Linked DNA regions of Macaca mulatta. Each later gene encodes a partner of the first gene's protein in a complex. Links are inferred from orthologs where the notes say so. Each region holds a gene or a part of one and is shown on either strand. Other genes may lie near its edges.

Region 1 (3,915 bases):
TAGACCTCTGCCTCGCTTCTCTGTCTTCCCAGCACCCCAGCTCCAGTCCGGGACACAGCCGACACTCAACAAATATTTGTCAAATTGGGAGAAAAAGAACTATATCTTGTAATTTTCCATCTTAACATCCTCTCTTCCAACTGCCCCCAGGACTGTCCCCCAGCCAAACCAGCCAGAAATCAGAGGATCCTAGGTTCCTCCACCCCTCCAACATTGCCTAGGAATTTCTGAGGGATCTTGGCCATGTCTTTTTCTCTTTGAGCCTCAGTTTCCCCAGCTGGGTAATAGGGGCATGGGTTTTGAATCCTGGCTGTCCTTGGAGAAGAGGCACAGCCCAGTAAGTCGGGTGTGACCACCTGCAGGGGAGACCCCTGGAAAGGTGGGAGTGGCCTTCTGGTGGGACAGGCATCTGGTCACTTCTGCACTGCACCCCACCCCAGCACCCCCACAAGGTGGGATGCTTGATCACCGCCCCAGCAAGAGGTGGGCCCTGTGGGAGGGCCAGGGCTTCCAGGGCTGCTGGTGGTGGTGGTGGTGGTGGTGGGGAGGGCAGGGGGCCGGCCCAGACACCACTCCTGCCCTTTTACGGTTGCAGTGAGTGAGGCAGCACTAACTCGGACATCCGCCATCCGCCTTCCACTGAGCCTGGGACCGGAAACGCGAGGGGGGTGGAGGGGCGGGGCTGGGGGGCAAGGGGAGAGAAGAGTCCCGGAGGAAGAGGGCGAAGGAAGAGAGCGACGCTCCCTAAACTGACCCCTCTCCAGGGCGGACTTGGAAGGGATGTTGCTATAATGGGGAGCGGATAGGATAGGCAGGAAGTCTTGAGGGTATCTGTGGGTGTCCTCCTTGCTCCAAATTTTCCAGCCATGCCTTTCACATCAGAAGGAACAAACGCGGGAGGGGAATTCTCTAGTGGTCATAAAAAGGAACGCCACTCCACTCCGATGTCAAAGGGCAGGGGTTCAGGAAATGCAGGGGATGTGGGCACCACGGGGTTAATCCCCAGCCGTCCCCAGGGGCCTCCCTGCTAAGGCTGGGGGCTTTGGGGCAGGAAGTCCCAGAGAGAGTGGAGGAAGGGAGATAGTATTGTCAGGCTCTGGCCCCATGGGAGAGATTATGGGGGGCCAGGGGAGGGGAGAATGGGAGGATGGTTGGGTCCCCCTGCCCACACTGGCCCCGCCCTCAGGTGAGTCCAGGAGTTCGGGGGAGGCCCCGGCCAGACCAAATCCCTGGGTCCCTTGGGCCGCCGCCCCCAGGATTAAATTCCTGGGAAGATAGCTGGAATTATCTGGGAAGCCTGGGTCCCTAGGGAAGAGGGCTATGACCTTGAAGCTTTCCAGCTCCCCTTCCTCCAACCCCAAGGCTCCGGATGGATGGGGGGGGCGGCGAGCAAAGGGGGAGGCGCCGTGGTGGGGAAGGCAGCCGGCCCACAGCGCTCGGTGCCCGCCCCCCACACCAGCTGTCTCGACAGGTGAGTCAGGAAGACAAAGGCCCCCTTCCCCCAGCTGCTGCGTCCCCTCCCTCCCCAGGGCCGCGCAGGTGGGGGAGCCGGGCCGCCCTTATGGCCCGGGGCAGGGAGCCGCCCTCTGCTCCGAGCGCCCGCTCTGTCCTAGGCACTGCCTGTTAAGCAGATTGCGTGCGGAGCGACGGGGGAGGGGAATCCCACCAGACTCCGGAGGCTGCGTCCGGGTCCCTGGATCGGTTCATACCAGCCTCTTCCACAGGAAGACCTAAGTGCCCCCCAAAATTTAGGGGATTAAGAAGTACCCCCGAAGTTCAGGAGCGCGGTCTCACTTGGGGAGACTTTTTCCAGCACCACGTAAACGGGGTCCCTGCACACCAAGGGTCTGAGTCTCAGTCTCTCTTCCAAGTCCCAGGGTCTCCCAAACCAGTCCCCCACAATCCTTCCCCGACCTCGAGCTGAAGTTTGGGGGGAGGGGGAGGAAAGTCTGAGCCCTGCCTCAATCCTGGCATCCCTGCGGGGAGTCGCTGCCAACTTTGAGGTCCTCTGAAAAAAAGTCTTAACAATTCGGGAGTCCTCCGAGCGTCCCCAAATCTTGAGGGCTCCCAGGGGAACCTCACCGCCACCACCCCCCGAGCTTGGGAAGTCAGTCGTGGAGAAGTGATCGACGGTTTTGGGGCTTGTCCTAGGGGATTCAGCCCAAATCCGAGGCTCCCAAGGATCTGTCCCCAAATTCCAGCCCGGAGCGAGCTTGGGGGGAGGGGGACAAAGGCGGGGCGCGGAGCCCGCCCGGGCGGGGACGGGTCGGGGGGCAGGTCCGGCTCACCTCATGGCTGATCTGCGGGCGGGCGGCGCGCCCACGGACTGGCTGCTCCCGGGGCGCCCCTGGCTGGAGGTTCAGGGGTTCGGGGCTGGCTCCGGGCTCGACTCAGGCTCCCCCAGGGTCCCGCCCCATAGAGTCCGGCTTCCTGGGTAGAACGTGGACCGGGCCGGGGCGGGTCTCCGGGCGCCGCTTCCCTCAGGCGATCTGATGAGAGGTCCCTGCGGCAGAAAGGGGATGCGGCGTCTGCTCCCCGACGCGCCCCCCTTGCCGGCGGCGGCTACACTGTTACTCTTACTACTGTACTTCTCTTCGTTACATTTCGTTCCAAAATTCCACTCCCCGCACCCACAATGCCCCGCGCCTTAAAGGGGCCGCGCGCGCCTCCAGGCGAGGGGGTGGAGGGCGCTTAAAAGGGCAACTCGGCACCCTCTGCTTCCGCGATCTTGCTGCTCTCCCCAACGTTATCGTCCAGGGGTGCACCCTGGGAGTCACCACCACATGGAGGGGCAAGCTTGGTGAAGGGGAAGGCGACCTCCCTTGCTCCCTAGTTCGCTTCCACTGTGGGAATTCTCAGGAGCGTCTCGGAAGGGGCACGATTTCTTTCCCCATCGACTTCTCCATCTCGTACTCCGCTCAATTTTGGGGGTCGAAGAGGACCCTCCAGTTAGTTAAGCAAGTGGTCTCAGATTTTCTCCCTGAAATTCCATCTTCGGAACCCCGCCCCTCCCCAGCGTCTCTCTTCTGTCAATTTCGGAGGGGTTACTAAGGGGGCGAGCCCCCCACCCGCGCGGGAGGGGAGGTGGGGGGGAGTAGGGCCCCACCCCTCTCACCCCACCCCGCCCGCCCCGGGAAGGTGAGGAGGAAGTGGGCCAAGGGGGCGCGGTCGGCCGCTGACTCACAGCCGCAGGGTCGGGGGTGGGGTGGGGGTGGAGGTGGGGACTGGCGAGGAGTGCCGGAGTTGGGGGCCTGGCATTCGCCCGAGGTGGGCAGGAGGCGCCGGCTTCTTGGGTATGTAAAGCCTCCGACCCACGTACGCCCCGCTCTGACTCAGTTTCGCCTGCGGAGGACAGCAGGATCATCCCAGCCCTCAGGAGGGCCCGGAGGTGAGGAGACCCTCCCCGGAGCCCCCGCCCCCACACGCCGGCTCCAGGCTGAGCCCAGACACCCTCCGAGGCTTCCGCAGCGTGTCTTGCCGGCCACGCCCCGAGTGACGTCACTGATGTGGTCGCGCCCCTTGGGTAGAGCGCCACCTGGCCCGGGTGAGGGCCCGGGTGAGGCCCTGGGAAATCAGTTTCACGTTTACACATGGGTAAACTGAGGCCTGGAGACAGGGAATGAATCTGGCCTATGACCCTCTTGCCTGAGCCCCCAGAACCCGGAAAGCCACCAAGATCTGAGTGTAAAACCAACAATTCTCAGGGCCAGCTGACTAGGTGAGAGAATCCACTTTTCCAGCGTATTTCCAAGCCGAGTCCCATGTCCGGATGTTTTCCTGACCTCCTTTACCTGGAGAGCACTTCCTCCTTACAGGCCAAGCTCTGACATTAATTACCCTCCCCTTCTCCACCCCACTCTGGGAGATCTTGAACCCTGATCCTCAGAGGTTATCATTGTTTCTCAGTGTGTCTCC
Region 2 (3,815 bases), on another chromosome or scaffold:
AAACAGGACTTTTGATCTGGTATTTATCTGCAAGAGTGTACTTCATTCACTAATAATAGACTGGTGCTGTAACTCAAGCATCAATTCAGCTCTTCTTTTGGAATTAAAGTATAGCCAAAACATTAAAAAAAAAAAAATCCTCAGTATAGCTTGCAATTAAGACCTAGATCACAGTATTTAAATGTTTTGTGTTTTATACATGAGGTCAGTGCGACAGCCACCTAGCATGAACTAACCCAGCTTCCACCTCCATAAAGTTACCTAGAGTTGTTGAGTTGGAGTATGTTCTGGCATTTACCTGACCTGCCAATCATTAGGGAGAGGCAACAAGGTAACTCAGCCTTTCCTCCTCCTATCAGCACAAAGAAACTCAAAGCTGTATTTTCCCTTTCTGTTCCAAAGCAGTCTTATCCTGACAGGAGCGGTCTATACTAGTGCAGATTTCAACACGTTTTTTTTTAATGTTTTAATTACTATAGTGTTATGTAGAGATTTGATTCAGCAGCTAATGTTTCTGAACTTTACTTATTAATTTTCAGTGTCCTTAAGGGTTTTGTGGTGTTATCAAAGCAAAAAGAAAATGCTGCATAAAAATACCAAACTTCAGCAACTGTTAATGCTCAGATCATATACCTCTTAATAAATAGCATCTTATGCTAATTAGCCCTGCTAAACTATGTACAGAGGAAATTGTTCAAGTATTGGATTTGAAAGTAAGTGACTTATGTTTAACAGAACTAATGATGTATTGAAACACTGTATTATGAAAAGCTAAATTATATACATCATTGTAACTATGTAGAAAATGTAGACTAATGTATAATCAAAATGCTAAGGATTTTTATATGGCCTTGTATGAGGGGAGTTTGAATGTTAATAAACATGTTTTCCACTTTAAGATCCAGTAAATGTCTGTTCTACCATTTACTTACCATATTAGTCTTATTTATATATATCCTATAAAGGGATAATGATTGAGGTCAGAGAAATCACATCACCCTAGAATTTTATACAAAGTAACTGACCATTCACATGCAGTTAGGTAATCTCCCAAAAGTTTAGACTGCTGCCAAAATTATTCCAAAAATAAACAGTGTACATTTTGGTACCCTGTTGTAAATTATGGTATATCGAGGGAAAATTTCACTTTCCGAATTGCCTTTTAAAAAATGTTCATAATCAGGAAAAAATAGGTATTTCTACTTTGGAAAATAAACGGTTGAATTCAACATCCGCTATCTGATACCTCATCCCTCTTCCCCTTTTTTATAAAAAATTAAAGAACCACAGGCCTGAGAAACAGGACATCAAAGGTTACCACGGTAGTTAAGCAAAGTTTGGAACTGGACATAATTGTATGGTCCTAACCGTTTTAAACCTGGTCATTTGCATAATTTTCATTTAACCTAAGTGAGGGTGTGAGGACAAAACGTTGGGCTCAGTATCTGGTGCATAGATGTGCAATAAGTAATAGTCTTCAAAATAATTATTAAATAAAAACATCAAACCTAAAATAGTATTTTAAAATAGGAAAAGGGAAAAAAATAAAAAGTCACAGTAATGGGTAAGTATGTATTAGATGTTATATTCCCTTAGTCTTTAATCCAAAGTTTAGAACAAGGACCTAGTTCCTTTATGTTAGGAGTTTTTATGGAAAAAAAAAATTTTTTTTTTGAAATTCCAAATTACTTTAATTTTATGTAAAAAAAAAAAATCTACGAAGTGTCTTATTTAGCAGCACTGGCTAGGACTGTTACTAGGTTCTGTTAATGTTCACTTGAAATGTTCTGTAATTTCATGGTATAGCTTTTTGAATAGGACAGTAGGTGCAATTAAAATCCAATTTCTATTTAAAAATTTAAAATTTTCTTGATTACAAAAGTAACATTAAAACACTAGAAATCAAAATATAGTCACCTGGAAACTATACTGCCTTCAGAAATACATATGTAAAATACATGTATATTAATACTGTATGTATGTGCACTGTCATGTAACATGTTTATATTCTCATTAACATTCATTGGTAAGCATTCTCATGTCATTCTTCAATGACTATTTTGTCCTATGGACTTAAAATCATTTATTCAAACCATACCCCTTAAAAAGCTGAACCTTGTAGATGTTTTCCAAGTTTGGATGGCTTAAGTAATGCAGTGTGATGGACATTCTGGTATACAAATTTGTATAGCTTCATTTCCATATGCGAAATTCCTAGAACTAAGTACAAAGCAAAGTATAGCTGTATATATTTCCCTAAGTATTTTTCTAATGAAATTGTGGGTGGAGGGCCAATGAATAGTTTCATTATATACTATTTTAGTGATACAGTCACCCTTTACCACCTTCTACCCCCAACCTCCTCTCTGAACACACACACATACACACTGCCCCCTCACCTACTTACAGATTAACAGTTTCAGAATTTTGGTCACTGCTTTCTATAATTGGTTACCCTAATAGTTCTTTACAAGTGAAGTGTGAATGTGTATTATTGTAAAATCTCAAATCATCACAACTCAACCACCAAATTTTCATTTGCCCAATCTTTTGGCCTTAACAGGTCAAGAAACTGATACCAGGTTTTTATTATAGTTTTACAATTTCTAGGTTATGTCCAACTACCAAAATAGCCCCAGATCCTTTATCTTCCATACTTTTACATCCCTGTGTATGTACAGCCATATTCACAACCAATGCCTGACAACCAAAGAAAACTTTCACATGCATAGTATAAGCAGATTAATTCCTATTCCCTAACCCATCGTTTCTCAAAAGGTAGCATAAACACCACTTAAAATGAATCAGACTGACCCAGTGATTGTTTCTGAAAAGGGATTCCTGGGCTTATGGACTCTCCATCTCCAGGATGGAACCCCAGAGTCCATAATCTGCCTTCTAACCAGCTCCCCAGTTTTACTGAAACCCACTAACTTTTGAGCACCCCTGGCTCTAAGCATCTGCTTGAGTTGTTGGTAATAATGATTTATCCAAATAGCCCTAAATTTACATATTTACCAAACTTCAATACATATCAGGGATTTTATGGCCTCTGGGATTAAATCTATTACATAGCCATGGTCAACATGTCACTACAAAGCCAAAAAGTGCAAAAGCATCCCAATTACCTTATATGCTGCCTAAGGAATGTCTTCTGCTCTTATGTAGGAGGGCCCCAGTTGGCTGACTTCAGTCTGCCAACACAGCCTCCAAATCTAAAGTCATACGACATTTCAACACAGAAAAATCCACGATAGTGCAGAAACTCTTCTTGGTACTCCCTTTGCTGTTTATTAGATTTCACATCTAGAAACCAGCAAGAAAAGGAAAATACTCATTTTCTAGCAGATGTCAGTTGCTTCTCACATACGCCTGAAGATGAGCCTGAAATGACTCAAAACTATATGTAACAGATCAAAGCCCATTAAAAAGAAATTCCCAGGCACTAATTTTATCTGTAATATTACTTGAAGTAGGCCATCACCTGAATGTTAAAGTTTTATGCTTGCGGCCGGGCGCAGTGGCTCATGCCTGTAATCCCAGCCCTTTGGGAGGCTGAGGCGGGCAGATCACGAGGTCAGGATTCGAGACCATCCTGGCTAACATGGTGAAACCCCGTCTCTACTAAAAATACAAAAAATTAGCCAGCGTGGCGGTGTGGCCTCTAGTCCCAGCTACTCGGGAGGTTGAGGCAGGAGAATGGCATGAACCCGGGAGACGGAGCTTGCAGTGAGCCGAAATTGTGCCACTGCATTCCAGCCTGGGCAACAGAGTGAGACTCCGTCTCAAAAAAAAAAAAAAAAAAAAAAATTTTA

What was found.
Region 2: the proteins of VASP (region 1) and PFN2 are in contact, whole or in part, in a crystal structure (PDB 2V8C), measured with the Mus musculus proteins. The link is inferred for Macaca mulatta from reciprocal best matches to the Homo sapiens genes VASP and PFN2. Residues at the interface, in NP_033525.2 of Mus musculus: Gly165, Pro166, Pro167, Pro168, Pro169, Pro170, Gly171, Pro172, Pro173, Pro174, Pro175, Pro176; in NP_062283.1 of Mus musculus: Gly3, Trp4, Ser6, Tyr7, Asn10, Cys13, Tyr30, Trp32, Met131, Tyr134, Ser138, Phe140.

What each region holds. Positions count from the first base shown.
Region 1 is NC_133424.1:58,036,683-58,040,597, reverse strand, and holds the start of VASP (vasodilator-stimulated phosphoprotein), read right to left. Parts: upstream 2,587-3,915; 5' UTR 2,294-2,586; coding exon 2,289-2,293; intron 1-2,288. UniProt on the Homo sapiens protein: Ena/VASP proteins are actin-associated proteins involved in a range of processes dependent on cytoskeleton remodeling and cell polarity such as axon guidance, lamellipodial and filopodial dynamics, platelet activation and cell migration.
Region 2 is NC_133407.1:52,984,410-52,988,224, forward strand, and holds part of PFN2 (profilin-2), read right to left. Parts: intron 3,307-3,815; coding exon 3,161-3,306; 3' UTR 3,129-3,160; intron 905-3,128; exon of another isoform or gene 1-904. UniProt on the Homo sapiens protein: Binds to actin and affects the structure of the cytoskeleton. At high concentrations, profilin prevents the polymerization of actin, whereas it enhances it at low concentrations. By binding to PIP2, it inhibits the formation of IP3 and DG.